Linked DNA regions of Anolis sagrei. The protein of the gene in region 4 purifies or fractionates together with the protein of the main gene of each other region. This does not show direct contact. Links are inferred from orthologs where the notes say so. Each region holds a gene or a part of one and is shown on either strand. Other genes may lie near its edges.

Region 1 (7,204 bases), on a different chromosome or scaffold from region 4:
AATCACTGGGTGGCTGTGAGTTTTCCAGGCTGTATGGCCATGTTCCAGAAGCATTCTCTCCTGACATTTTGCCCAAATCTATGGCAGGCATCCTCGGAGGTTGTGAAGTCTGTTGGAAACTAGGCAAGTGAGGTTTATATATCTGTGGAAGGTCCAGGGTGGGAGGAAGAACTCTTAGCCGGGTATAAAAATGAAGTTATTATTATTATTTGAAGCACAACAAGATGAGTCCACAGCAGATAAGATCACTCTGCTGGCTGTTGCATTGGATCACACATCGGAAACTTCCCAAGTGTCTAGGACTGTGTGATGTATCAAAGAATAATGCGTTGTTGTTGTTGTTGTTATTGTCTGCTTGAGGCAAATGTGAATGTTGCCATTGGCCACTTTGATTAGCTTTTAATGGTCTTGCAGCTTCAAAGCCTGGCTGCTTCCTGCCTGGGGAACAAAATCTGGATACTAGTATTAAAAAAACCTCTAAAATCAGGACACTAAATACAGAAGAACACTCAGAAAACATTTACATTGAGGCAAGTGTGAATGTTGCCATTGGCCACCTTGATTAGCTTCGAATGGCCTTTCAACTTCCAAGCCTGGGTGCTTCCTACCTGGGGAACAAAATCTGGCTACCAGTATTTAAACAACTCTAAATAAAGAACAACATTCAGAAAACATTTACACTTGCCTCAAGCAGACAAGGGTTCTTTTTCCCACCTTGGACATTATTCCACAGATATATATACCCAATTTTCCTAGTTTTCAACAGACCTCACAGGCTTTGAGGATGCCTGCCATAGAGGTGAGCGAAACATCAGGAGAGAATGCTTCTGGGACATAGCCAGACAGCCTGGAAAACTCATATATCTTTCTCTCACCTTGCACAGATATACAAACCCCACTTGCCTAGTTTCAAACAGACCTCACAGCCTCTGAGGATGCTTGCCATAGATGTGGGTGAAACATCAGGAGAGAATGCTTCTGGAACATAGCCAGACAGCCTGGAAAATGCATATATCTTTCTGTCACCCTGCAGTTTCGAACAGACCTCACAACCTCTGAGGATGCCTGCCACAGAGGTGGGCGAAACGTCAGGAGAGAATGCTTCTGGAACATGGCCATCCAGCACAGAAAAACTCACAGCAACTTAGGACAACAGGGTTGTAAACAACCGAGACTGACCCCAAAATAGGCTCTCTCTCTGCCCTGAATAATATTTACCTTAGAGACACTAGGTTAAGAGCCCCTTCCTCTTTGCTCCCCGGGCCCCAACAACACACTTATATTTATAGTAATGAGAACATATATACAAAGGGGGGGGGAGGGGGGACACAGATCCCAACAAACCCACTGCCTCTCAATTTTCACCCTAATGTTTGGGCCCAACTGGAGAGAAGGTTTGGGGAAAGAAGGAAGGAAGGGGAAGAAGAATGGGCCCAACTGAGGAGAAGGTTTGGCGAAGGGAGGAAGCAAAGAAGGAAAAGAAGAAGAAGCACCTTCTGGAAAGCTTTCAACGCCACCACCGACTCTGGATCAGTTTCTACAAAACAGACAGACATCTTTTTGCCCCCTAAAAAATAAATAAATGGGGATTCCTCCAGGAAGGATCACATGCAAGAGAGGGGGGGTTGAAATATTGGGATTAGATCATTCCCAAAAAAGAGAAAGAGGGAGAAGGAAGAGGAGGAAGAGGAGGTAGATCCTGATCAGGAATTGCAGCAGGGGCAGCTTTGCCCTCCTCTGTGTGTGTGTGTGTGTGTTGCCTTCAACACAGAGTCGTCCTCCTCCTCCTCTTCCTCCTCTTCCTCCTCCTCTTCTTCTTCCTCCTCTCTCTCTGCTGTAATGGCAGGAAGGAAGCTTCTCCCACCCGGATCCGTCCACTCCGCGCGTGTGTTGTGTGTGTGTGTGTGTGCCACCAAGTGAGGCGTGAACTCGAGTGGGGCCAGGCAGCCAGAACAAAGCTCTCTTTTCCACGACCACCCCCCTTCCCCTCCTCCCTCCCCTTCTCCCTTCCTTCCCTCCCCCCTTTCCCTGCTTGTCCTAACCCGTGTCTCCTTTTTTTACCTTGGCAGCCGTCCTGTCCCGACGTTCACTCGGAGGAGGAGGAGGAGGGGAGGGAGGGAAGGGGGGAGGGAAGGGAAGGGAAGGGAGAGCGTTGTGTCCTTGGGGGCTGGGAAGGGGCTACGAGGAGGAGGAGGAGGAGAAGCAGGAGAGGCAGCAGCAGCAGCAGCTTGGGAGGGGGGCAATCGGGCGGCGGAGAAGGAGGAGGAGGCGGCTCTGTGGCCGGGCAGTGTGGATCATTGAGAGCCGGAGAGAAGGGGGGTGGGAGAGAGAGAGAGAGAAGGAGAGGGAGAAAGGGAGAGAGAAAAAAAGGGGAGGTGCAATACACGCGATGGCCGGACGGTGGCGCTGCGGAGCGCTCCCCTTTTTTTCCTCTCTCTCTCTCTCTTTCTCCTCCAAAGGGAGGGGGGGGGGGCAAATCGAACGTTCTCTCGCCTCCGCCCCCTACTTTCGGATTCAGAACGTTGCAGTCAGCAAAGTTCCAAACGCAGGGAGAGAGAGAGAGAAAAGGGAAAAGGACGGCGCGCGCGCTCTCCCAGGCTGGAGCGCGCGCCCCCGCTGGTGCTGCTGCTTTGTCGGCTTTAGTGCGCGCGCACGCGCTCTGCTCTTTCTCACTCTCTCTCTCTTTTTTTTTTACCTTCCCCCGCTTTGCTGGTCAAGGACAAAGAGTTGGCTGCCCAAGGGAACCCAGGAACCCCTTTCCTTTCCTCTCTCTCCCGGCCTAAGTTTGCAGCCTTCCCCCCAAAGGGAAAGTCTCCCTTCTCGTCCTCCCAGGCATACACTCACCCACCTCGCCTTCGGTCATGTGCAGCCAGAGGCAGCAGCAGCAGCTCGTGTGTGTGTTGTGCTTGGAAATCCTGGACTCCTTGGGAGAGGCCCCAAAGGCCACCCAGTCCAACCCCGTTCTTCCACAATCAAAGCACTCCCGGCAGATGGCCATCCAGCCTCTTTAAAAGCTTCCAGGACTTGGGGACTCCATTACACCCTGAGGCAGAGAGTTCCACTGCTGAAAAGCTCTCACACAGGAAGTTCTTCCTAATGTTCAAATAGAATCCTTTGGTCATTTGCAGCCAAAGGCAGCAGTAGTAGCTCGTGTGTGTGTTGTCCTTGGAAATCCTGAACCCAAAGGCCACCCAGTCCAACCCCCTTCTTCCACAATCAAAGCATTCCCGGCAGATGGCCATCCCTCCTCTTTAAAAGCCTCCAGGACTTGGAAACTATTAAACCCTGAGGCAGAGAGTTCCACTGCTGAACAGCTCTCTCACAGGAAGTTCTTCCTTATGTTCAAATAGAATCCTTCAGTCATTTGCAGCCAGTGTGTGTGTGTGTGTTGTATTTGGAAATCTTGGACTCCTATAGATTCAGGAGAGGCCCCAAAGGCACCTAGTCCAACCTTGTTTTTCCACAATCAAAGCATCCCCAGCAGATGGCCATCCAGCCTCTTTAAAAGCCTCCAGGACCTGGAGATTCCATTACAACCCTGAGGCAGAGAGTTCCACTGCTGAACAGCTCTCTCACAGGAAGTTCTTCCTAATGTTCAAGTAGAATCCTTCGGTCATTTGCAGCCAGAGTGTGTGTGTGTTGTGCTTAGAAATCCTGGACTCTTATAGAATTAGGAGTGGCCCCAAAGGGCACCTAGTCCAACCCTGTTCTTCCACAATCAAAGCACTCCTAGCAGATGACCATCCATCTTCTTTAAAAGCCTCCAGGACCTGGAGATTCCATTACAACCCTGAGGCAGAGAGTTCCACTGCTGAACAGCTCTTTCACAGGAAGTTCTTCCTAATGTTCAAGTAGAATCCTTCGGTCATTTGCAGCCAGAGTGTGTGTGTGTTGTGCTTAGAAATCCTGGACTCTTATAGAATTAGGAGTGGCCCCAAAGGGCACCTAGTCCAACCGTGTTCTTCCACAATCAAAGCACCCCTGGCAGATGGCCTTCCATGCTCTTTAAAAGCCTCCAGGACTTGGAGACTCCATTACACCCTGAGGTAGAGAGTTCCATTGCTGAACAGCTCTCACACCGGAATTTCTTTCTAATGTTCAAGAAGAATCCTTCTGTCATTTGCGGCCAGAGTGTGTGTGGTTGTACTTGGAAATCCTGGACTCCTATAGAGTCAGGAGCAGTCTCAAAGGCCACCCAGTCCAACCCCGTTCTTCCACAATCAAAGCACTCCCAGCAGATGACCATCCATCTTCTTTAAAAGCCTCCAGGACCTGGAGATTCCATTACAACCCTGAGGCAGAGAGTTCCACTGCTGAACAGCTCTCACACAGGAAGTTCTTCCTAATGTTCAAATAGAATCCTTCGGTCATTTGCAGCCAGTGTGTGTGTGTTGTGCTTGGAAATGCTGGACTCCTATAGAGTCAGGAGCGGTCCCAAAGGCCACCCAATCCAACCCTGTTCTTCCACAACCAAAGCACCCCCGACAGATGGCCATCCATCCTCTTTAAAAGCCTCCAGGACTTGGAGACTCCATTACAACCCTGAGGCAGAGAGTTCCACTGCTGAACAGCTCTCACAAGAAGTTCTTCCTAATGTTCAAATAGAATCCTTCAGTCATTTGCAGCCAGAGTGTGTGTGTTGCGCTTGGAAATCCTGGACTTCTATAGAGTCGGGAGAGGCCCCAAAGGCCACCCAATCCAATCCCGTTCTTCCACAATCAAAGCACTCCCGGCAGCCTCTGTAAAAGCCTCCAGGACTTGGAGACTCTATTAAACACTGAGACAGAGAGTTCCACTGCTGATCAGCTCTCTCACAGGAAGTTATTCCTAATGTTCAAGTAGAATCACCTTTGTACTGTCGAAGGCTTTCATGGCCGGAATCACTGGGTTGTTGTAGGTTTTTCGGGCTGTATGGCCATGTTCTAGAAGCAGTCTCTCCTGAAGTTTTGCCTGCATCTATGGCAGGCACCTACACTTTCCTTAAAAATCCACATTATCTGCTTTGAACTGGATTATATGGCAGTGTAGACTAATACAAAGTATAGAAGGCTCCTCAGGCTCCTAGATTCCTTTCACGTGTACTGTATTCAAGCCAGGTGCCACACATCCTATATGAGCTGTCCATTTCATTTTTATTGCCCAAGTGTCAAACTATACATTTCTCAGCCAGATTATATGAGTCTACACTACCATGTAATCCACTTCAAATCAAATAATTTGGATTTTATATGACAGTGTAGAAGGGGCCCTAGTGTCCCTCTAAACAACAACTCTCAGGATTCCACAACATTGAGTGTGGCAGTAAAAGTGGGGTAAAACTAATTCATTTTGCAGTTAAGATGCACCCAGTTACTGCTAGTGCGGACAGATCTTTGCCCTACATTGCTACCACTGCCAATCCCCTGTGTCAGGTACTAGAAGGAGAACTGACTTATACTGCCCTGAGGTCACTGGATGAAAAGGCTGGTCGAGAAATACAATCTATATAAATAAAAATGTAATATTCGTTTGTGGGGTTAACATAACTCAAAAACCACTGGACGAATTGACACCAAATTTGGACACAAGACACCTATCAGGCCAACGAGTGCCCATCACTCATAATAATTCTGAAAAACACAACAGAAAGGGCTTAAAAATCCAAAAAAACCAAAAATTACGTTACAACTTATGCACAAACCCTCACACACACGCACACACACAACACACATATACACATTCATGTACACACACAAAACACATATACACAGACTGGGCCACAGCAACACATGGCAGGGGACAGCTTGTAAATAATAATAAATATATAATAAATATATAATAAATCATCATGGTCTGGGAAACCAGGTGTGAAAGCCTTCTCTATGATTGTTCCCAAATCTCTACAGGCAGATTTCTCTTTGTTTTTCCAATATATTTTTTTTACTATTTTATTTAATCAGGCCTTTTGTTGTGTTTTGTTTTTTACTTGTTGCTGCAGATGGAGCTTTCCACGCGGTGAGTGCTGTATGTGTGTGTGTGTGTTTCATTATGTTTGAATCTGTTTTTTAAAAGATTTTAAACTTGTGTTTTTGAAACGGAAATTATTCCTCAACACATTTATTTTTTATGTTTCTATTAATAGTTTGTTCAGATTGTTCTTTGTTTTAACTTTATTCTAGTACTGAGGGGGAAACTGGAATATCAAATAAATGGATGTAAAAATACAAATATCCTCGGTCGTGTATCAATTTGCCAATGCCAAATTGAAGGCCCACACAGCCTTATATTCCAGAATGTCATGGCAGAAAATTCCGTATTATCTTGAGTGTGGACTCAGATAACCCAGTTCAAAGTAGATATTGTGGGATTTTCTGCCTTGATATTCTGGGCTATAGCGCTGTGTGGAAGGGCCCTGACATGGAAGTCCAGAGTCCAATCATAGTCTTCTCTGAAGTTGAAAGTGTTAAAAGTCTGAGGCCCCTTCTATATTGCCATATAAAATTCAGATTGTCTGCTTTGAACTGGATTATATGGCAGTGTAAACTCATACAGTCCAATTTAAAACTGATAATGTGGATTATCTGCTTTGAAAAGGTGGATTATGTGGCAATGTGGAAGGGGGCTGAGATGTTATATATGTGGAAAGATACCTTTGATTATCAGCTTTGACAATCTGGATTATATTGCAGTGTAGAAGGGGCTTTGGAGTCTTGCTTTAGCATTCAAACTACACTAGAAGTCCAGTTAACATATACTGTGTGCAGGTATGTAGCCCGGGGGGGGGGGGGGGGCTTGAGGGGCTTCAGCCCCCCCCCCCCGAAATTCTCATCGTAGTTCGCGAAAAGGCCTTACTGCTACATTATTTAAACTGTTATGTTTATTCATATCATGATCTAATCACCATGCTCAATATATCCCATATGCATGGGGGTATTGAGGTAACGATACAAAAGGTTTGCTAGGGTAGATCCTGAGGCCTCCCCTCCCCCCGAACCCAAGAAAATTACCATATACAAGAATATTGATGATGGTTAGGATTGGAAACCTGCTTCACTTTCAAACAATACTGCTTCTGCATACTTCAAGAACAAGATGTCGTCTACTTCCCCCTTCTCCTTTTCCTTGTTATTATTGTACATATTTATATCCTGATTTCCTCTCTTAAAGGAGAGTCAAAACCTTTGTGTGTGTTTATGCGCCTTCTATTCTCCCAATGTCGAACCCA
Region 2 (7,654 bases), on a different chromosome or scaffold from region 4:
GGAAACCCCAGTTCCAATTTGCACTGAGCCAATCAATTCACTTGGGTTCAGATACATTTCATGGACTGCCTTCAGCTTTCTTAGACAGACCTACCACACAGAGTTGTTGTGACAATGCATTAGAGACAGAGAAGAGTATTGAGCTCATTAGATGAAATATGCTTATTAGGCCTGGGTAACAACGCAAAAATTTGTTTCTAAAATCAATTTGTATTTGGGGGGTTTTTTTGTTTCGATATTTAAAATAATTACAAAATTTTCCCTTAAAAAAGTTCGGTATTTACGAAATTTCGTTAATATTTACAAAACATTTTGTAAAGATGGCGCCCTTTTTTTTCAATATTTTTTCAATATTTTTTAATTTAATTATTAATTTAGTAGAATAGGGAGGAGAAATTATTATTAAGGAGGGAAGGCAGGCACTCACTCTGGCGGGCCCTCAAGCGCTGCCGCCGAGTCGGGCCCGGCTCCTCCAAAGCAATGCGAAATTGGGAGAAGGGCTCCCCAAAGGCCATCTAGCCCAGCCCTCCGCTAAGGAATTGGGAGAACGAAGCACAGCCCTCCACTAAGGAATTGGGAGAATGAAGCACACCCACCGCAAAGGTGAGGAAGGAGGGACGGGCCGCCTTCCCGCTGAGGGTCGCTCGCCCTCTCGCTCGCCCTCTCGCTCGCCCTCTCGCTCGCTTGCTCAGCCGGTGCCTTCCCCGCCCTCTCCTCCTCCTCCTCCTCCTCCTCTTTCAGACTCTGCCTCTGACTGGCTAAGAGAGGAGAGAGAGGAGAGCTCCCAGCAAGCATCGCCAGGCCATCTTACGTATTTCCGAAATGGACGGAAATACAAATTTTTTTGGCGCCTGCCGTTTCAATATTTAAAAACACTTCCGGGTTTAAAAATAAGTTTTGTAATCGTTTTGTAATTGCTAAAATTAGCGAATATTTAACGAATTACAATATTAACGAATGAAACCGCCCAGGCCTAATGCTTATGTGTTAACTAATAAAGGCAGCCCTCTGCATCCATAGGAGTTAGGGACACAAGACCCTCGCAAAAATGAAAAACACAAATAAAAAAAGATTATGTTGTTGAAGGCTTTCATGGCCAGAATCACTGGGTTGCTGTGAGTTTTCTGGGCTACATGGCCAACTTCCAGAAGAATTTTCTCTTGATGTTTCACCCATATCAATGGCAGGCATCCTCAGAGGCTGAGGGGACCCAGCCAATGCCCTAAATCAAGAAATAGTTTTCTAAGATCTACAGAGATACTCGCAGGAACACCTCAGCAAGCGAGAGTCTAGAAGTGGCAAGCTAAAACCCAGAACCTCAAGCCATAGCTGATACCGATTGAGAGACTTCCCCCTCGGCACACAGAAGACTGGACGACTTGGAAGGCACTCAATATAAAAGCCCGGAAAACTCACAGCAACGCAAAAAACATTATATTTTTCCCCAAGAGTATACTTCCCTAAGATTCTAAAGTTCCTACAATATGACTCTATGGTAACGGTTGACCATAGACTTTTTCTGGAAGACCTAAAGATTCCTAGAGAGAACATATTAATCAAATCCATGAATAATGAAACCTGCAAAAATGACACCTGCTAGACAACTGAACAGAATAAAATAAATAAGTGTAGGCAAGGGGCCTATCTTTCATGAAAGAAGTCTCTCTGACATTTAAGGATAAGTGGTGAGGCGTTCCAATTCCACATGCATAAATTCCAAATGGATTTGAAAATGTAAACTCTTTATTTTAAAAAAAAGCAGTTTAATTATTCCCTCATCCACACCACTGCTTTCCTGCTAGAAAATAGTTCAGCAGACGTTTACCCCATTGCATTTTGTATAGCCAATGACGCGCATATTCGCAGGTGTTCTTCAGACTAAGCAGTTCATTTCCCTTGCTGTCAACCCTCCACCAGCATGCTACAACTCATTCTCAACAGAAAGTCAATACAGACTGCAAACTTTATGATATGCTAAAGGAGACTAGCCTCTCCGCTTACTACAGGGAATTGTAAGGAATATCGCTTGGTGTTAAAAGTTCTGATAAAAGTATTCCTCGGAGTTTTGTGTGAGTATCTGAATGCTTGCCAAGCAGCAAAAGACCTTCTTCCCTCCCACCAAAAAATAAAATAAAATACTGAAGCAGTACAAGTAAGTCTCAAACCAGGCTTTTAATCCCCAGAATCAAATATCTTATATCTACCCCAGTGGATCAATTATGAATGCTCACAAACTTACCAAAGAGTGACAGGATGCCACAGACAGTCCAGACCGTCAAAGATAAGCCCACACTGCCTGTGTGCTCGAGGATTCCTTTGGGAGATATAAAGATCCCTGCTCCAATGATAGTGCCAATTATAATAGATATCCCTCTCAGCAAAGTCACTTTCTTCTTCAGCACCACTTTCTCTCTCTGGGCCGCCTTGGTGTGTAAGCCAGAGGGCAATGTGCCATTTGAATGCCCCTGCAGGTAGCTGCCATTAGAGATTGTCGGCACAGGAGACTTCCTAAACATGTTTTGGTGCTGCCCACACACCAAGCTGAGAACTTTGAAAAGCTCTCTGAACAGAAAGCCACCTCGGGTCTTTCTTTCCTCTCTCCCTCCTTTTGTCTAACTAGCTAACTCCTTTAAAAACACACATACACGAACACACACCGCCTGCAGCCTTTCAACCCACTTGTGCCAACAAGTATCAAACTCTTCAAGTGTCTTTTACTTTGGACGGCTGTCTAAACACTACTCAGGAACACCTGCCCTTTCTCCCAGCCACCTTTATGCCGCTCTGTCATTGGAAGCCGGCTCAGCTTCCGCATGGTCTTGTATTTAAGCTCGCCTGTCATACCAAGTTACTCTTGCTGAATGATGATGCAAATTCTCCAGGTTTGCATCAGCCATAGGAGCAGGATCCAAATCTAGCATTACTCAGCACTTTTCCCCTTTACTACAGTAGCAGGATGTTGCACAACTTGAGAAAGGGGGAAATAAATTCCCCGTAAGCAATCCCTCGTGGCAAGGTTTACTATATTGCCACACTCCCAAACAATGATAGAATCTCAGTGAGAAACAAAACTCTCTTTTCCAACATGGGGTGGGAGCAGTGCACCTTATAAATGCTGAAATACAAAGAGGAGAAAACAGAGCAAATAAATAGTGCCATGTCTGTTTATTTTTTGTTTATTGTTATTTTAAAAATCTGCCTACACTTCAGAAAGTGCAGAAAGAAATTCAATTCCCTTAACTGTAGGGAGGTGTTATAGGTTATGTGCATTCTTTTGTTGTTGTTGTTGATAATTTGATTTGGACCACATATATTTTCACAAGAGTACATGTCAACCTTGTTGCTTTCTGTTGTTTCCTAGCAACTCAGTCAGTCTAGGCTAATAATGGCTAATTTTACATAATTTGATAATTCTTTCATGTATTTGGTGTCTATCTTTATTACTTTTTTTCTAATGGCTCCCTGAAACATGGCCCAGGTCACATCAAAATAGCTCTTAACAGTGGTATCTTACTTTAAACATTGCTAGAATTGATGCATAGGGCACAAAGCTACTGGTGAGATTATTTGCCTCATAGAATCATAGACTTGAGAAGGATAGTTTTGTCGTGCAGGCATGAGCGAACTTTAGCCCTCGGTATTTTGAACTTCAACTCCCACAATTCCTAACAGCCAGTTAAACTGGCTGGGATTTCTGAGAGTTGAAGTCCAAAACACCTGGAGGGCCAAAGTTTGCCCATGCCTGGACTCTATTGCAAAGCCCCGTCATGCAGGAATACACAACTAAAACACTACTGTAAACTGGCTATTCAACTTCTATTTAAAGATCACCAAAGTCAACTGATCTCCCTGGAAATCTATTCCAGTGTCCAACAGCTGTTAACAAAGTTCTTCCTAATGTTCTCTTTTCTTATAATTTCAATTCATTGGTTTGTATCCTAGTCTGTGAAGCAAACTAAATTAATTTTCTTTTATCTTCAATATGACATTATTTCATATATTTAAATATATTCATATATCATATATATTCATATATCATGTTACCTCTCCTCTTCTCCAAGCTAAACATACCCAGCTCCTCAAGCTGATTTTCATGGGTCTTTGTTTCCAGGTCTTTTACCTTTTGGTCATGTTTTAGCTTGTCAATATTCTCCTTGAACTTTGATACCCAGAATATATGTGGCAAAATAATTTGGCTATCTTTAGGATCTATATGCCCTGTAGGCATGGCAGAGAGCAATATTTGCTGTTCCGCATCAGGCAGTCAAAATAGAGGACACTCAAGGTGATCATTAGAAAACCGTGAGGTGCCTCCCCTGGCCTGCATTTGACCATATCTTGATCAGGAGGAGAGACAATTTGTATTGTATCCAGAAATCAGAACACTCCCAAAGTTCAATTACCATAGTTTAATTTCCTGTGCTTAAGTTGCATCATTTGGTGCATTCTCTAATAGGTCATTGTGAGCTCTTATGAGTCATATATGCTTAAAGGCAAGTATGAATGTCAGCCTTCTTGACAGTGTTCCTTAGAGATATGCATATTAGTGCAATACAATGCATACTCTGCATTTCAGCCTGTATGTGAAGGCTATTCACAGTTGCTGGGTGAAAGAATAAAAAGAAATATTCCCAAAGTAGTTGCCTAAAGTGGCTAATCTATACAGAAGAACAAACAGTCCCCAAAATATTGATGTCTGGAACATGAAGCTATCACAAGGTCTGCAGAGGAACAGGAAGAACAAGAAGGAGGTCTCCCTCCCCCTCCTCTCTCTCTCTCTCTCCTGGCTTGTTCCACGCAGGAGTCCTTCATTGGAAATTCTGCAGAAAGACTTCTACGTGTAAAGAAATATCTATTAAAATGGTGGTTTTCGACCGTGTTACTCCATTTAAATTAATCCTGTCTAGGAGAGTGAAAGAAATCCTCATTAACCAGGGAAATGTTTTTCTTTTCTTTCTATAGAAACACTAAGTTGCCAATCAGGATTAACCTGGAATACTAAGTACTGATCATTAAAGAGAACGCAGGCACTGTGCCTACTGACTTTAGGCTGAAATTCCTTCAAAGAATCTCTCTTTCTGCAAGTGTATCTTGTTAATGTCAAAGAAATGCCAGGCCCTGTAAAGGGTATTAACATTAGAGTACTAATTAATTCATTATACTGGCAGATTACTTAATTCACCACAATAATCAAGCATAATGTTTAGCCATACTCTGCTTTGATAGTACATTTCAGCAGGAGAAATGATAGAGATGAAAATGGAATGGAGGGAAAGGAATGAAGGACTCCACATAATAATTTGGAAGTAAGTGATCTTGTGTAAATCCAGTTTGCTAATGTTTACATGTTTTGAGTTTCATATTTCATTATCTTTCTTTCTCCCTTGTTTATTTACATTTTAGGGCTCTTTCAGATGTATCAGAAGCTGGAGTTTTTGTTGCTCTACTTCTAGGACTCTTGGACTATTTTCTGACACATTTGTCACCAGCTGTGGTATTTTAATCCCCATCTTCAAACCTCAGTTAACTCATCTTTTGCTATTGATGTGCAAACCCCATCAATAGCTCCCAATCCCAGGACATTCTCATCACCTAGCTTGGTGCAATGGGTCCACCTGACTTCTATGCCAACATGGCAGCAGTAAAATGATGACAGGGGAGTAATTTTCCCCCTCTCCCTTCACTATTCTCAGGCTGTCTGTTTTCTATGTACAGTATTTGATATTTTACAGCTATGTTTGCAAAATTCCCTCATTTTTTAAAAAAAATACAGAACAGGAGAAAGGAGAAAGGCAGCATTACAAGGGTAATGGTACCTTTACAAAGGTAAAGGTTTCCCCTTGACATTAAGTTGAGTTGAGCCCAAATCGGAGTGGTGGTGCTCATCTCCATTTCTAACTGTCGTTAAATAAATAAATAAATAAATAAGCCGAAGAGCCAGCATTGTCTGTAGACACCTCCAAGGTCATGCGGCTGGCATGACTGCATGGAGCAATGTTATCTTCCTGCTGAAGTGGTACCTATAGATCTACTCACATTTGCATGTTTTTGAACTGCAAGGTTGGCAGAAGCTTGAGTTAACAACGGGAGCTCACCCCGTACACGGATTTATATGGCCAACCTTCCAATCAGCAAGTTCTGCAGTTTAACGGTTTAAGAGCTGAAAAAAGCGGTATAGAAATAAAGTAAATAAATAAATAAATAACACACTGCGCCACCACAGCTCCTACAAGAGTGTGTAGAAGTTGTCAAATTGGTGCAATTCCACAAATGAAAAGAAGTGTAATGTAGAAGGTATCTATCCCAGTATGTATCTATCATCAATGTCAGTGTAACTGCTATGGAATAGCAACTTTGTACAACCAAGTCCCATATTCCCTTCTTGTTTTTATGTATTGTGTGTAGAATTATATTACTATAGTTCATTTATGAAATACAATTTAGAACTATTACTTTATAACTTAAAATTATTTTAATTTCAAAGAGGAGAAAATTTGCCCTTGAAACCCCACAGAATCACATCATTAAATTGTACCCTGATTTTTAAAAAAAACCTTGGAATCATTATAATAACGTGCTACAAGCAGTTCCTTGAAAATAATGTAGTGAATGGACATAGAACTAAAATCTTAAAAACTATGTCACAAGAACTCAAGCTCCTATAGAGCTTTCCAGATGGTCCCTCCATTTCAATTCAGAGTGGGAAAATATCAAAACCAGTTAACAAGTAAACCAACTTCACTTTATATCATCATCATCATTGTCATCTTATACTACAATTAAAAGCAGCTTTACAAGCATCTGGAGGTGAGGGCTGGTTTGGAAATGTCTTGCAATATGCTCGGGGATACTTTGGAGTACAGGTGTCTTTCCTTCTGTAGTGGTTTGATGCTAGCAATTTCACTGTTATGTTGCCTTATAATTCACACCACAAATTAAAGATCAGCCTCATAGTAAATCTTTCCCATTAGATTGTGCATGGATAATATTTTTTGCTTAGAGCATTCCCATCATTTCTTCCCATGTATGTTTGGAAAGAGGGAAAGACTAGAGATGGCAGAGGAAAGTCACTGACTAGAGGTGGAAAGAAATGAATTAAAAATAACATTGTCGTTGTTACTGTTGTTTGCCATCAAGCAAGTCCATCTTGTGGCAATCCTATGTGTGAGCACTTCCCAAGATCAACTATCCAGCTCAAGTCTTAGAAACTCAGGATATGGCTTAACCAAATTAATTCAATTTGTAGTGTGGTGTACCTCAGTTTCTACTGCTTTCCACTTTACTAAGCATTGCTGCCTTTTCCAATGAGTCATGACATCTTATGATATGTCCAAATTATGATTGCCCCGATTTAGTCAGTTTGAGCTGTCTTTCTTTTTCAATGTTTTTTAAAAAGTTTTTTTATCATGTCAGGAACGACTTGAGAAACTGCAAGTCACTTCTGGTATGAGAGAATTGGCCGTCTGCAAGGACCTTGCCCAGGGAACGCCCGGATGATTTGATGTTTTCATTATCCTTGTGGGAGGCTTCTCTCTTGACCCCGCATGAGGAGCTGGAGCTGATAGAGGGAGGTCATCCGCCTCTCCCCAGATTTGAGCCTGCGACCTGTCGGTCTTCAGTCCTGCCGGCACAGGGATTTAACCCACTGCGCCAC
Region 3 (7,979 bases), on a different chromosome or scaffold from region 4:
GCATTGTCCTGTTGCCTATAAAATTGTGAAGAGGGATTCACATTGTAGAAAACACTTGAGTCTCTTGCAACTTCTTGAAAGACACAGACACCAAATTCTTCCTTGCAGAGTCAAGCAAAGAGGGATGGTTTTTCACAGGCGCAATGAGTAACACACTGCCCACTTCAGACAAGCCTACATAATGGAATATCCCATTCTTCTAAATACTGGGACCAGAAATGTTTGGGATTTGGGGTTTTTGAACACAAGTGTTTGCATATATCAGTAAATGCTTAAGGAGATATCTTGGCATGAAATTCACTTACATTTCATACTAAAGTATATACCCAATATTGCCCAGGTGTTGGAGGGCCCATTGCTTTCACTCCTTCTCTTTCTGTCTTTTCTTCCCTCTCTTCATACCTTTCCTCTTTTCCTTTCTTCCCTCGCCCCCTCCCCTCCTTTCCTTCTCCATTCCTCCCTTCTGCAGCTCTGAAAGGGCCTGTCTTACAATGTCTCCATGGAAATGCTTGGTGGCTCTTTCCTCCCTCTCTCCAACACAGGTCTCCTTTCTTTCCCAGCGAATCACAAAGGGCTACTTCACCTAGCAACAGCTTAAACCCTTGTACCATATGTCAGCGGTTCGAATCTCAAGAGAGCGGGTTGAGCTCCCTATTTCAGCTCCAGCTCCTCATGTGTGGACATAAGAGAAGCCTCCCACAAAGATGGTAAAACATCAAAACATCCAAGCATTCCCTGGGCAACGTCCTTGCAGGTGGACAATTCTCTCACACCAGAAGCGACTTGCAGTTTCTCAAGTTGCTCCTGGCACACACACGCACACACACACACACACACACACACACAAACAAACCCTAGCAACAGCCTTTGTGGTACAGACAGACTGACTTGTGTATAGATATACATAGTAGTAGTAGTAATTTTATTGATCAGCCCTCAGGCCATATCACAATAAGAAACAGAACAACAAGGCCTGGCAAGACCTGATCACACTCCACATAGTAAGTTAAAATAAGACACTTATAACAATACAGTAAATAAATATGATAAGACGGGATAAAACTGATATACTGATCAAGCTTATCAGTGGCTTGTTCTCGGTCTTGCAGCTATTCTGATGTCTGAGGTGGAGTATCCATTGGCCTGTAGAGCACAGTTTAGGTGGTTCAGTTCACCTTGGAGGAGGTGGGGTTCACAGATTCTTTTTGCACGGTCTGCAAGACCAAGAACAAGCCACGAGAGTCAAGACAAAGATTCACCCAGATATAAAGTGTTCTTCCCATACATCAAGGGAACCACTGACCACATAGGGAAGCTGATGAGGAAACACACTATAGAAACCATCTACAGAAAATCCAACAAATGCTACGTTCAGCAAAGGACAAGAAGGATCCTCTCACTTCTGCAGGAGTCTACCGTATATCATGCAGCTGTGGACAAGTCTACACAAGGACCACCAAACGCATCATTGCCCAAACACGAATCAAGGAACATGAAAGGCAAGGCAGGTTACTTCAACCAGAGAAGTCAGCCATAGCAGAGCACCTGATGAACCAATCTGGACACAGCATTTTATTTGAGAACACAGAAATGCTGGACCACTCTCACAACCACCATGTTAGACTACACAGAGAAGCCACTGAAATCCACAAGCATGTGGACAATTTCAACAGAAAGGAAGAAACCATGGAAATGAACAAAGTCAGTTAGAGCAGGAGTAGAGTCCGTATGCTGCAGTGAGATGTCAGTTAATATATGAGTCTGTTTGCAGCAGATGTATAGTACAGTGAGTTGAAGTATAGTACAGTGTAGTACAGTTTTAAGTTTAATTCAGTTGACATCTGTTTCAATAAGCAATGTACCTTCTTGCTAAATACACAAAGCTTGTAAGTATATCAACGATGTTAACTTTTAACGAAGACTACTTATTTTTTTGGTCTCTTAAGAACATGATTTTAAAACAATATATTTTATGGGAGAGTAGATTATATATTTTTGTGCAACAGAAATAACACTTCTGAAGATCTGCTACATATTTTATGCATTGGCATTTCTTTGTTCCTAGCGGTTCAAAGAGATAGCCAAGTATATCAGTCTAACAGCTGAGAAGCCTAAACTGCCTTGTATAAATACTAGTAATTTACCACTAAGGTAGTGGTTCTCAACCTGTGGGTCCCCAGGTGTTTTGGCCTGCCAGAAATCCCAGCCAGTTTACCCAACTGTTAGGATTTCTGGGAATTGAAGGCTGAAACATCTGAGGACCCACAGGTTGAGAACCACTGCACTAAGGAGAAGATTGACTCAGGTGAGTTTGTAACTCTTCTTGGGAAGATCATACTTTACAAAATGGTTACGATCTCTATCAAGGTCATGCCTTTCCAAAAGGTTATGATTATTCCAAATAGTCTGGCTACCAGTATTGAAAAAACTCTACAATTACAACAGCAAAACAACAGAGAGGAAACAATATGGGACATGTAATCACCTCTCAACAAAAGATTGCCCCAGGCACTGCCAGGCAATCAAATGCTAATCAAGGTGGTCAGTTGAAACATTCACACCTAGCTCCAGGAAACAAGAGTCCTTTGTCCCACCCTGGTCATTCCACAGATATAAATCCTTTTCCCTAATTCCAACAGACCTCACTACCTCTGAAGATGCTTGCCATAGATGCAGGCGAAACGTCAGGAGAGAATGCCTCTAGAACATGGCCATATAGCCTGAAAAAACCTACAACAACCCAACAAAATTAGTGTTGCATAGTGTAATCTGTGTATCCCGCCCTCCCTCCACACTAAGCTCTCTCCCACCAAACCTAAAGGACTGGTCCCTTCCCCGGCCTCTTGACCCCATCCTCGCCTCTCTCACCTGTTCTTGGGGCTGGAGCGGCGGGGACTGGCTGCAAGCCCCGTTCTCCCCCGCCTTGAAGGGAGAACGTGGCGAGCCAGCCGCCAGTCCCTCAGGCGGTCGGTACCGCCGTCTTCCGCCTCTTGGGTTGTTTGAATTTGGCGCCCAACAAGGACGTTCGACGCCACGTGACGGCGCCGGGCCAATTAGAGCGCAGGGGGCGGAGCCTGTGAGGAAGGAGAGCGAACGGTAGGAGCAGCGGCCCAGGCGCATCTCTTTCGGAGGCAGACTTGCTGTGTATGTGTACACATGCGTCAGGATAGGTGTTTTGAGTTTGTATATGGGTGCCCTCACCTGCCACAGTCATTCCCCAGCTCTGGCTCTCCACGGTTTGGAAGGGACTCCAACTCCCAGAAGCCTCAGCTGCTCTGACCCAGGATAAGGGATTCTGGGAGTTGAAGTCCCAAAGGGTTTTCATCCTCCAATGTGGTTTTGCCAGTTTCTTCCTCTGAAATGCTGCCTGCAACAGCTGGCATTTGTCAGCGGCGTCCCATTCAAGAGCTGGCCCTGCTGACTTTGCAGGATCAGACGCCATCTGGGGCGTTTAGGATTTATGTTGACAGTTAACTGTCCTGCAGTTCCAGAAATAAACGGAATCACCAAAACAGAGATATTAATAATGTTGTAAAATAATATTTATACTTAATAATACAATATTTTATAATAATATAATATTTATACTTATGATATAATACAATATAATATGATCTATATAAATCAAAATATAATGTTCGTTTGTGGGATTAACTGAACTCAAAAAGCACTGGGGGAATTGACACCAAATTTGGATGCAAGACACCTAACAACCTAATGTATGTCCTTCACTCAAATTTTTTTGATTTTGTCATTTGCGAGTTGTAGTTGCTGGGATTTATAGTTCACCTACAATCAAAGAGCATTCTGAACTCCACCAACGATGGAATGGAACCAAACTTGGCACACAGAATTCCTATGACCAACAAAAAATACTGGAAGGGTTTGGTGGGCATTGTCCTTGAGTTTGGGAGTTCTAGTTCACCTACATCCAGAGAGCATTGTGGACTCAAACAATAATGGATCTGGACCAAACTCTACACGGATACTCAGTATGCCCAAATGTGAACACGGGTGGAGTTTGGAGAAAATAGAATCTTGACATTTGGGAGGTGTAGTTGCTGGGATTTATAGTTCACCTACAATCACAGAGTATTCTGAACCCCACCAACGATAGAATTGGGCCAAACCTCCCACACAGAACCCCCATGTGGGCCACAGCAACGTGTGGCAGGGGACGGCTAGTCTATATAAATAAAAAGTAATGTTCGTTTGTGGGGTTAACAGAATTCAAAAATCACTGGGGGAATTGACACCAAATTTGGACATGATACACCTAACAACCCAATGTATGTCCTTCACTCATAAAAAAACAGCAGAAGGGACTTAAAAAGCTAAATGACGAAAAGCTAAATGACAATACAGAAAAAAAGGAAGAAAGAGGAGGGAAGGGGAGAAAAGAAAGAAAGAAAGAAAGGGAGGGAAGAAGGAAAGGGAGAAGGAAGCATATAAGCAAAGAGAAAAGGAAGGAAAGAGGTAGAGAAGGAAGAAAGGGAGGAAAAGAAAAAGGGGAAAGGAAGGAAAGTTAGAGAAGAAAGGAAGGAGAGAAGGAAAGAAAGAAGGAAGGAAAGAGGGAGCGAAGGAAGGGGGGAAGATGTAGAGAAAGAGGGAGGGAAGGAAAGAGAGGAGGAAGAAAAGAGCAGAAGAGAAAGAAAAAGGGGGAAGGAAGGAAATAGATAGAGAAGGAAGGAAGAAGAGAAGGAAAGACAGGAAAGAAGGAAAGAGGGAGTGAAGGAAGGAGGGAAAAAGGGAAGGTTGGCCACAGCAATGCGTGGCAGGTACCACTAGTAATATAATATTATTTATTTACAACATTTATATGACGCCCTTCTCACCACGAAGGGAAATCAGAGCGGCTTACAAGATAGATATACATACATACATACAAACACACACATACACACACACGCTGTGCCACTAGGGGCCCCCAGTAGTATAGTACAGTATAATAATATATTTATTTATTTATTTACTAGATTTATATACCACCCCTCTCAGCCCACAGGCAACTCAGGGCGGTTTACAGTCAGTACCAATACCAAAAAGTACAATTAAAACATTAATATAAATATAAAAGAAGTAAAAACAATCAATATCAATTAAAAACATATATAATTAGAGTCTCCTTGTTCAAACAGTGTCCAGTCACGTCGTCCAGTCTTTCCATTTTTCATCTGTAGTAGTAGTAATTTTATTGATTAACCCTTAGGCCATATCACAATAAGAAACAGAACAACAAGGTCTGATAAGACCCGATCACACTCCACGTAGTAAGTTAAAATAAGACACTTATAACGATACAGTAAATAAATATGATAAGACATGATAAAACTGATAAACTGATCAAGCTGAGTATATACATCATATTTCATTATCACCCCTACAACTTACCCCAATCAGCCCTAAATATGTGGTTCTCAGACGTATTGTTTTGCTTAAGTACAGAGCTGTTTTGTATGTTATTTTTGGGTCTTGACCACACATAAAATATGTTGTTCTGATGTGAGATTCCCAATACATTGTCCATTTGACAATCTAACCATTGTCTCGAGCTGATCAAATCTGACTCGAGTGAATACCTCCCTGAGATTTTTCATCTGTAAACGCTTACTCGGCCCCTCTTCCTTTTTCCCTCCATTTCCCCCAGCATCATTTTCTTCTCTAAGCTTTCCTTTCTTCTCATGATGTGGCCAAAGTACTTAATATTTGCCTCTAATATCCTTCCCTCCAGTGAGCAGTTGGACTTTATTTCCTGGAGGATGGACTGGTTGGATCTTTTTGCAGTCCAAGGCACTCTCAGAATTTTTGCAACACTATTTTTGTTGGGTTGTTGGTTTTTTCGGGATATATGGCCATGTTCTAGAGGCATTCTCTCCTGACGTTTCACCTGCATCTATGACAAGCATCCTCAGAGGTAGTGAGGTCTGTTGGAACTAGGAAAATGGGTTTATATATCTGTGGAATGACCAGGGTGGGACAAAGAACTCTTGTCTGCTGGAACTAGGTGTGAATGTTTCAACTGACCAACTTGATTAGCATTTGATGGCTAATAAAGGTGGTCAGTTGGAATTTCAAGCATAATTGGCATTTCGGAAGATCTGTGCACGATGGGTACCCAGGATGCTGACGCTGGTTGCGGAAACAGTGTCGACTTGTTCTGTGAAGGCTTCAGAAAACTTGTTCATCGTTGGCAGAAACGTATCCAATTGTCTGGTGATTATGTGGCAAAGTGAATAGTGGTAGTTTAAGAGCACATTGTAAGGATTATTTCTGCGTTTGATTTATTAAAATATTCCCATCCAAACCCAAGTAACGAAGGTGGAGGCATTACTTTTCAATCAACCCTGGTAGAGAAAGATGTTGAAGAGCCCTGGGCCCAGGTCTGAGGAGAAGGCCGACGTCACGCTCTTTGCAAGTTGATGCGTGGCTTTGTTTTCTCCCTCACCCCGCTCTGGCTGCGCCCAATGAGGAGCAGGCGTTGTGCGCACGCGCCGCCCAGTGCCTCGCGGAGGCTCCAGGGGCGGGAAGGCGGAGGAGGGGGGCGGTCCCAACCCGGCGAGGGGGCCGCCCCCTCCCCTGGTTGCCATAGCAATGGCAGGATGGCCAGCCGGAGCGGAGTGACTTTGGCTACCATGGGAGCCAGGTGAGGCCAGGGCCCGAGGGTCCTCTTGGCGGGGCGCCCCCTTTTGGGCGAGGGGGGTGCTGGGGCCGCAGCAGAGGCTGGAGGGAAGCCCAGGAGGGCGACGCCCGGCCCGCGAGCTTGCAGGGATCCCCGCCAATCAGCAAGCGCGCGGAGGCCTCCCTGTCTCGAGCTCTGCGGCCGGAGAGAAGGCTTTTGCAGTGTATCATAGAGGCGCTGCTTCCTCTCACCCGGAAAGAAGGGAAGGGGGCGCCATGGCGGCTGCTCCTTCCCCCATCTCCTTGGTCCTTTTCATCAGTCAAGCCTATTTTTATCAGTGGAAGGGAGGCGCCTAAAGGCGAAGAGCAGGGAGGAGGGCACCCAGATCTCTGGAAGTTTTGAAGCAGAAGCTGGATGGCCATCTGTCGGGGCTGCTTTGATTGTTCTTTTCCTGCATGGCGTGGGGTGGGCTAGATGTGGTGACTTCCAGCTCTGATTCTTCCATCTCCTTCCCCCTAGCAACAATATAGTACTATAGAACACTTTTTTTTTGTTCTGTCAGGAGCGACTTGAGAAACCGCAAGTCGCTTCTGGTGTGAGAGAATTGGCCGCCTGCAAGGATGATTTGATGTTTTATCATCCTTGTGGGAGGCTTCTCTCATGTCCCCGTATGAGGAGCTGGAGCTGATAGAGGGAGCTCATCCGCCTCTCCCTGGATTCGAACCTGCGACCTGTCCGTCTTCAGTCCTGCCGGCACAGGGGTTTAACCCAATGCACCACCGGGGGCTCCTATATAACACTAATATTGTGCTATGCTAATCTATATAAATAAAAATGTAATGTTCGTTTGTGGGATTAACATAACTCAAAAGCCACTGGGGAAACTGACACCAGATTTGGACACAAGACACCTCTCAGGCCAACAAGTGACCATCACTCATAAAAACACTGAAAAACACAGCAGAAGGGACTTTAAAAAGCCAAAAAATACATTACAATGCATACGCAAAACCACATATATATACACAAACACACATATATACACACATATATGCATACACACAGAAAGAAGGCAGGAAGGAAAGAAAGAAGGAGGGAGAGAAGGAAGTAAAGAAGGGTAGAGAAGAAAGGAAGGAGGGAGAGACGAAGGAGGGAAGGAAAGAAAGAAAGGCAGAGAGGAAGGAGGGAGAGAAAGAGGGAGAGAAGGAGGGGAGAGAAGGAAGGAAAAAAGAAGAATAGAGAAGGAAGGAAAGAGAGAAGGAGGGAGAGAAAGGGAAGGAGAGAAGGAAGGAAGGAAGGAAGGAGAGAAGGAGGGAGAGAATGAAATAAAAAAGTGAAAGAGGGAAGGAAGGAGACAAGG
Region 4 (7,993 bases):
GTAGGCTGTGAGAAATTATGGGAGTTGAAGTTCAAAACACCTGGAGGGCCGAAGTTTACCCATGCCTGCTGTAAACCATCTCAGCTTTTAATGCCTTTTAAGTCTAAATTTTAAGAGTTCATCATGTGGTAACTGTTGTGTGATGTGTTGTTTATTTAAGTTTAATTTTAAGTTATTTTTCCAATTAGTTTTATAATTTTATATTGAGATTGGGTTGTTGTAGGTTTTTCCGGGCTATATGGCCATGTTCTGGAGGCAATTTTTTGCCTCCAAAATTGCCTCCAGAACATGGCCATATAGCCCGGAAAAACCTACAACAACCCAGTGATTCCGGCCATGAAAGCCTTCGATAATATATTGAGATTGTTTTATCCACTATTCTGATTTGTTATTTGTTTGTTGTACATATTCCAGGTCTATTATTGAATTGAACTATTCTCTGAAAGCTTGATCGCAGAGCCAGGTTTTGACTTTCTTTCTGAAGGCTAGAAGGGGAGGGAGCTGATCTAATGTCACTAGGGAGGGGCCACCACTGAGAAGGCCCTGTTTATCATCCCCACCACTCGTGCTTGTGATGCAGGCGGGACCGAGACCAGGGCCTTCCCAGACAATATTAATCTCTGAATTGGTTCATAGGGGGAGATACATTCAGACAAGTAAGATGGGCTAAACCCAGCACTTTGAATTGTGCTCGGTAGCAGACTGGCAGCCGCCCATTGGACCAATTTAAGCTTCCAAACAGTCTTCAAAGGCAACCCCATGTAGAACACATTGCAGTAATCGATTCATAATGTGACAAGATGCGGATCACCATGGGCTGGTGCTTCTGGGAGTACCAAACTCCTGTAGAATCAAAGGTTAGGAATCGCTGCTGGGTCGAAATGCAAGAATAACAACATTTTAACTACGATTGCACCCACTGGCGGCAACAGAGGTATTTCCACAGCACAAACCATGGTTATCTTTCCTTCAGAAGAACAGCCATGACATCCAATCAACCTCATTATCTCCTAGCAAAGTTGTGCCTTCGTAAAGTTGTTTTCAAATGGGGTTAAAAACAGACCTGGACTAACTTGGGCCCTCTGGGTATTTGGACTTCAACTCCCACCATTCCTGGCAGCCTCAGGCACCCTTCCCTTGGACTTCAACTCCCACCATTCCTAGCAGACTCAGGCCCCTTCCCTTGGACTTTAACTCCTACGATTCCTAGCAGACTCAGACCCCTTCCCTTGGACTTCAACTCCCATTATTCCTAGCAGACTTAGGTCTTCCCTTGGACTTCAACTCCCACCATTCCTAGCAGCCTCAGCCCCCTTCCCTTGGACTTCAACTCCTCATTCCTAGCAGACTCAGACCCCTTCCCTTGGACTTCAACTCCCAGCATTCCTAGCAGACTCAGGTCCCTTCCCTTGGACTTCAACTCCTCATTCCTAGCAGCCTCAGGCCCCTTCCCTTGGGACTTCAACTCCCACCATTCTTAACAGGCTAAGGCCCTTTCCTTTTCCCCCTGAACTCATACCATTCCTAGCAGACTCAAGCCCCTTCCCTTGGACTCCAACTCCCAGCATTCCTAGCATCCTCAGGCCCCTTCCTTTCCCCCCTCAACTCCTACCATTCCTAACAGCCTCAGGCCCCTTCCCTTGGACTTCAACTCCCAGCATTCCTATCAGCCTCAGGCCCTTTCCTTTCCCCTCTCAACTCCCAGCATTCCTAACAGCCTCAGGCCCCTTCCTTTTCCCCCAGAACTCCTAACATTCCTAACAGCCACAAGCCCCTTCCCTTCGACTCCAACTCCCACCATTCCTAACAGCCTCAGGCCCCTTTCTTTACCCTCTCACCTCCTACCATTCCTAACAGCCTCAGGCCCCTTCCCTTGGATTTCCACTCCCAGCATTCCTAGCAACCTCAGACCCCTTCCCTTGGACTTCAACTCCTACCATTCCTAGCAGACTCAGGCCCCTTCCATTGGACTTCAACTCCCAGCTAGGAATGATATGAGTTCAGGGGGGAAAGGAAGGGGCCCGAGGCTGTTAGGAATGGTATGAGTTCAGTGGGAAAAGGAAGGGGCCTGGTAGGAGGTGAGAGGGTAAAGAAAGGGGCCTGAGGCTGCTAGGAATGCTGGGAGTTGAAGTCCAAGGGAAGGGGCCTGAGACTGTTAGAAATGGTATGAGTTCAGTGGGAAAAGGAAGGGGCCCGAGGCTGCTAGGAATGGTGGGAGCTGAAGTCCAAGGGAAGGGGCCTGAGGCTGCTAGGAATGCTGGGAGTTGAAGTCTAAGGAAAGGGGCCTGAGTCTGCTAGGAATGCTGGGAGTTGAAGTCCAAGGGAAGGGGCCTGAGTCTGCTAGGAATGGTAGGAGTTGAAGTCCAAGGGAAGGGGCCTGAGGCTGCTAGGAATGCTGGGAGTTGAAGTCCAAGGGAAGGGGCCTGAGGCTGCTAGGAATGCTGGAAGTTGAAGTCCAAAACATCTGGAAGGCCTTAGTTGGCCCAGACCTAGTGTAGTATTAAAGCAGTTTAGAACCTCCAATTTGCAAGGAGACCATAATAATAATAATAATAATAATAATAATAGTAATATTCCCAATATGGAAGCCTGTCCCTCCTCCCTTCCTTCCTCCCTTCTTCCCTTCCTTCCTTCCTTCCTTCAGCATTCTCTTCTGAAGCCCAAAGTTACAAGGCCCTTTCTGCTCCTCCGTTTCCATGGAGACGGGGGCGCCCCTCCCACGCCCCCCTGGTTGCCGGGGCAAGGCAACGGCGAGGCCTAGTCCAACCGGGGGCTCCATTGGAAAAAGTAAAGGGCCCATTCGAGGCCAGGAAAGGGAGGCAGTCGCTCCCTCGGAGGCCCGAGCTCTCCATTCCCGGAGGTGAGTCCCCCTTTGTGCCCCCTGAGGTCTCCCATTACCGTCCGTGTCCCCACCAAGGGGCTCCGGCTGCTGCTGAGGCTCCTCCGCCGCCATCTTCCCCTCCTCACAGCCCTGGAAAGCAAGCGCTTCCGGGTGGCATAGTGGGCAAACCGGAAGCGCTCCTCTCTCCCTCTCTCTCGCCTGCGCTTCTCTTTGGTAGGCCTCCCGCTGTGACGTCATCACAACACAAGCCGCGTGCCTTCCAGGCCGTGACGTCACTTCCCTGGACCAGCTTTTTTCTTAAATCTCTAACAAAGCGCGTTTGGGACATGGTGCTGGGAGTTTCCTATTCTGGAAAGGCACACTGGAACAGCCAGGTCTTCAAGCTCTTCCTAAAGACTGCCAACGTTGGGGCTTGTCTGATGTCCTTGGGGAGAGAGTTCCAAAGTTGGGGGGCCACCACGGAGAAGGCCCTGTCCCTCGTCCCCACCAAGCGCGCTTGCGATGCAGGGGGGAGCGTGAGCAGGGCCTCTCCAGATGAACGGAGGGAACGTGTGGGTTCAGATATGGAGTCTGGGGGGCCACCACAGAGAAGGCCCTGTCCCTCGTCCCCACCAAACGCGCTTGCGACGCAGGTGGGAGATCGTGAGCAGGGCCTCTCCAGATGAACGGAGGGAACGTGTGGGTTCAGATATGGAGTCTGGATGGCCACCACAGAGAAGGCCCTGTCCCTCGTCCCCACCAAACGCGCTTGCGACGCAGGTGGGAGATCGTGAGCAGGGCCTCTCCAGATGAACAGCGGGAACATGTGGGTTCACATATGGAGTCTGGGGGGCCACCACAGAGAAGGCCCTGTCCTTCGTCCCCACCAAGCGCGCTTGCGAGGCAGGTGGGATCGTGAGCAGGGCCTCTCCAGATGAACGGAGGGAACGTGTGGGTTCAGATATGGAGTCTGGGGGGCCACCACAGAGAAGGCCCTGTCCCTCGTCCCCACCAAGCGCGCTTGCAACGCAGGTGGGATCGTGAGCAGGGCCTCTCCAGATGAACGGAGGGAACATGTGGGTTCAGATATGGAGTCTGGGGGGCCACCACAGAGAAGGCCCTGTCCCTCGTCCCCACCAAGCGCGCTTGCGACGCAGGTGGGATCGTGAGCAGGGCCTCTCCAGATGAACAGAGGAAACGTGTGGGTTCAGATATGGAGTCTGGAGGGCCACCACAGAGAAGGCCCTGTCCCTCGTCCCCACCAAGTGCGCTTGCGACGCAGGTGGGAGATCGTGAGCAGGGCCTCTCCAGATGAACGGAGGAAACGTGTGGGTTCAGATATGGAGTCTGGGGGGCCACCACGGAGAAGGCCCTGTCCCTCGTCCCCACCAAATGCGCTTGCGACGCAGGTGGGAGCGTGAGCAGGGCCTCTCCAGATGAACGGAGGGAACGTGTGGGTTCAGATATGGAGTCTGGAGGGCCACCACGGAGAAGGCCCTGTCCCTCGTCCCCACTAAACGCGCTTGCGACGCAGATGGGAGTGTGAGCAGGGCCTCTCCAGATGAACGGAGGGATCGTGTGCGTTCATATCACGCAGGTAGCCAGGTCCCAAACCGTTCAGGGCTTTGTAGGTGAGCACTTGCACCTTGAATTGGTTCCGGAAAATAAACGGCAGCCAATGGAGCTCCTTAAACAGGAGGGTTGACTTCTCTCTGTAAGGAGCACCAGTTAACATCCTGGCCACCGACCGTTGCACCAGTTGGAATTTCCGAGCCGTTTTCAAGGGCAGCCCCACGTAGAGTGCATTACAGTAGTCCAATCTAGAGGTGACCAAGGCATGGACCACTCCGGCCAGATCAGCCTTTACGAGGTATGGTCGCAGTTGGCGCACGAGTCTCAATTGTGCAAAGGCCCTCCCGGACACCGCCGACTCCTGAGCCTCAAGCGTAAGTGATGAGTCCAGGAGGACACCCAGACTGCGGACCTGTGACTTCAGGGGGAGTGTAACCCCGTCCAGCTCAGGTTGCCACCCTATACCCCAGTCCGGTTTGCGATCGACCAGGAGGACCTCTGTCTTGTCGGGATTGATCTTCAGCTTGTTCCTCCTCATCCAGACAGCCACAGCGGCCAAGCACTCGTCTAGCACTCGAGGGGCTTCCTTGGAGTTAGGTGGAAATGAGTAGTAGAGTTGTGTGTCATCTGCGTAGAGGTGGCACCTAACTCCAAAACTCCGGATGATCTCTCCCAGCGGTTTCATGTAGATGTTAAAAAGCATGGGAGACAGAATGGAGCCTTGCGGGACCCCACAAGTCAAAGGCCAGGGGTCCGAGCAGGCGTCTCCCAGCTTCACCAACTGGGATCGACCCTCCAGGAAGGACCGTGGCTCAGGAAGGACCAGAGCCACGACAAAACCGTGCCCTCGAGACCAATCCCAGAAAACCCTGGAGCTGGGAAGCGACCACCCGCTCCAGCACCTTGCCCAAAAAAGGGAGGTTGGAGATTGGTCTGTAATTGTTCAGCACCGTGGAGTCAAGGGAGACCTTTTTCAGGAGTGGTCGGAACACAGCCTGTTTTAGTCGAGATGGAAAAAAACCCTGCTCCAATGATGCATTAATGATCAACACAAACCAATCAGTCAACCCAAACTACAACTCCCATAGCATTCAAGCATAGCAGTTAAACTCTTTTTTATGGCCAATTATAAGATGAATACAATTTGGCAATGGGAATGATTGGCCCTTTGCAAAACTACAACTCCCATAGCATTCAAGCATAGCAGTCAAACTCTTTCTTGGCCAATTATAAGGTGAATGCAGTTTGGCATTGACTCAATGCAATGGGAATGATTGGCCCTTTGCAAAACTATAACTCCCATAGCATTCAAGCATAGCAGTTAAACTCTTTCTCTGCCAATTATAAGATGAATGCAGTTTGGCAATGGGAACGATTGGCCCTTTGCAAAACTACAACTCCCATAGCATTCAAATAATAGCAGTTAAACTCTTTCTTGGCCAATTATAAGGTGAATACAGTTTGGCATTGACTCAATGCAATGGGAAATATTGTCCCTTTGCAAAACTACATCTCCCATAGCATTCAAACATAGCAGTCAAACCCTTTCTTGGCGAATTATAAGATGAATACAGTTTGGCATTGACTCAATGCAATGGGAATGATTGGCCCTTTGCAAAACTACAACTCCCATAGCATTCAAGCATAGCAGTCAAACTCTTTCTTGGCCAATTATAAGGTGAATGCAGTTTGGCATTGACTCAAATGCAATGGGAATGATTGGCCCTTTGCAAAACTACAACTCCCATAGCATTCAAGCATAGCAGTCAAACTCTTTCTTGGCCAATTATAAGGTGAATACAGTTTGGCATTGACTCAAATGCAATGGGAATGATTGGCCCTTTGCAAAACTACAACTCCCATAGCATTCAAGCATAGCAGTCAAACTCTTTCTTGGCCAATTATAAGGTGAATGCAGTTTGGCATTGACTCAATGCAATGGGAATGATTGGCCCTTTGCAAAACTACTACTCCCATAGCATTCAAGCATAGCAGTTAAACTCTTTCTTGGCCAATTGTAAGGTGAATACAGTTTGGCATTGACTCAATGCAATGGGAATGATTGGCCCTTTGCAAAACTACAGCTCCCATAGTATTCAAATAATAGCAGTTAAACTCTTTCTTGGCCAATTGACTCAATGCTATGGAACAAATAGACCCCTGTCTGATTCCACAGCAAGCTGGCTTCAGAAAAGGCAAAAGCTGCACATCGCAAGTGCTGAACCCGACTCAGCACAGAGAAGATGGCTTTGAAAGGCAGCAGATCACAGGAGCTGTCTTCATAGACCTGTCAGCGGATTATGAGACTGTGAACCACTGCCTCCTCTTGAGAAAAATGTATAATATCACAAAGGACGACCACCTCACCCGCCTCAATGGAAACCTGCTACAAAACAGGAGCTTCTTTGTTGAGTTCCAGGACCAGAGAAGCAGATGGCGGAAACAGAAGAACGGCCTGCCTCAGGGGAGCGTGCTTGCTCCATCCATGTTCAACATCTACACAAATGACCAGCCACTGCCAGAAGGGACAGAGAGCTTCATCTATGCTGATGATCGTGCCATCACCGCTCAAGCAGGGAGCTTTGAGATGGTAGAACAGAAACCCTCCAAAGCTCTAGGTGCTCTTACTGCCTATGACAGGGAAAACCTTCCTTCCTCCCTTCTTCCCTCCATTCACTTCCACCCTTTCATCCTTCTTTCCATCTTTCTTTCCGCACTCTTTTTTTCCCTTTCCCCATCCTTCCTTCCTCTTTCCCTCCCTCCATTCCTTACCTCCCTCTTTCTCCCTCCCTACTTCCTTCCCTTCCACCCTTTCATCCTTCTCTTTCTCTTTTGTCTTTCCTTCCCATTCCTCCTTCCCCTCCCTCTAGTCTCTCCCACCTTTTCCTCCTTCCTTCCTTTTCTCTTTCCTTCCTACTCTTCCTTCCTTCCCTTCCACCCTTTCATCCTTCCCTCCCTTTTGTCTTTCCTTCCTTTATCTTTCCTTCCCTCTCTCCCTCTTTCTCCTTCCCTCACTTTTCTTTCCTTCTATCTTTCCTCCCTCTTTCCCTTTCCCTCTTTCTCCTTCCTTCCTTCCTTCCTTACTTCCTTCCTCCCCCTTTGTCATTCCTCCCTTTCCTCTTCCCTCCCTCCTTCCCTCTCTCCCTCTTTCTCCTTCCCTCCCTTTTCTTTCCTTCCTTCCATCTTTCCTTCCTCCTTCCCTTTCCCTCTTTCTCCTTCCTTCCTTCCCCTTTGTCATTCCTCCCTTTCCTCTCCCCTCCCTCCTTCCCTCTCTCCCTCTTTCTCCTTCCCTCCCTTTTCTTTCCTTCCTTCCATCTTTCCTTCCTCCTTCCCTTTCCCTCTTTCTCCTTCCTTCCTTCCCCTTTGTCGTTCCTCCCTTTCCTCTCCCCTCCCTCCTTCCCTCTCTCCCTCTTTCTCCTTCCCTCCCTTTTCTTTCCTTCCTTCCATCTTTCCTTCCTCCTTCCCTTTCCCTCTTTCTCCTTCCTTCCTTCCCCTTTGTCATTCCTCCCTTTCCTCTCCCCTCCCTCCTTCCCTCTCTCCCTCTTTCTCCTTCCCTCCCTTTTCTTTCCTTCCTTCCATCTTTCCTTCCTCTTTCCCTTT

The links.
Region 1: the proteins of OTUB1 (region 4) and UBE2E3 purify together in Homo sapiens (affinity purification with mass spectrometry; 3 studies listed by BioGRID and IntAct, counting the BioPlex papers as one, with this or other methods). This does not show direct contact. The link is inferred for Anolis sagrei from reciprocal best matches to the Homo sapiens genes OTUB1 and UBE2E3.
Region 2: the proteins of OTUB1 (region 4) and SLC7A11 purify together in Homo sapiens (affinity purification with western blotting; 5 studies listed by BioGRID, with this or other methods). This does not show direct contact. The link is inferred for Anolis sagrei from reciprocal best matches to the Homo sapiens genes OTUB1 and SLC7A11.
Region 3: the proteins of OTUB1 (region 4) and FOXM1 purify together in Homo sapiens (affinity purification with western blotting; 4 studies listed by BioGRID, with this or other methods). This does not show direct contact. The link is inferred for Anolis sagrei from reciprocal best matches to the Homo sapiens genes OTUB1 and FOXM1.

The regions. Positions count from the first base shown.
Region 1 is NC_090021.1:188,322,163-188,329,366, forward strand, and holds the start of UBE2E3 (ubiquitin-conjugating enzyme E2 E3), read right to left. Parts: upstream 3,014-7,204; 5' UTR 2,999-3,013; coding exon 2,849-2,998; exon of another isoform or gene 2,845-2,848; intron 2,375-2,844; exon of another isoform or gene 2,062-2,374; intron 1,954-2,061; exon of another isoform or gene 1,557-1,953; coding exon of another isoform or gene 1,494-1,556; intron 1-1,493. UniProt on the Homo sapiens protein: Accepts ubiquitin from the E1 complex and catalyzes its covalent attachment to other proteins. In vitro catalyzes 'Lys-11'- and 'Lys-48'-, as well as 'Lys-63'-linked polyubiquitination.
Region 2 is NC_090025.1:44,305,107-44,312,760, forward strand, and holds the start of SLC7A11 (cystine/glutamate transporter), read right to left. Parts: upstream 3,010-7,654; 5' UTR 2,517-3,009; coding exon 2,240-2,516; intron 1-2,239. UniProt on the Homo sapiens protein: Heterodimer with SLC3A2, that functions as an antiporter by mediating the exchange of extracellular anionic L-cystine and intracellular L-glutamate across the cellular plasma membrane.
Region 3 is NC_090025.1:104,604,158-104,612,136, reverse strand, and holds the start of FOXM1 (forkhead box protein M1), read right to left. Parts: upstream 3,014-7,979; 5' UTR 2,869-3,013; intron 1-2,868. Other genes in the region: TULP3 (tubby-related protein 3), read left to right, coding at 6,600-6,643. UniProt on the Homo sapiens protein: Transcription factor regulating the expression of cell cycle genes essential for DNA replication and mitosis. Plays a role in the control of cell proliferation. Also plays a role in DNA break repair, participating in the DNA damage checkpoint response.
Region 4 is NC_090032.1:15,294,758-15,302,750, reverse strand, and holds the start of OTUB1 (ubiquitin thioesterase OTUB1), read right to left. Parts: upstream 3,011-7,993; 5' UTR 2,954-3,010; coding exon 2,899-2,953; intron 1-2,898. UniProt on the Homo sapiens protein: Hydrolase that can specifically remove 'Lys-48'-linked conjugated ubiquitin from proteins and plays an important regulatory role at the level of protein turnover by preventing degradation.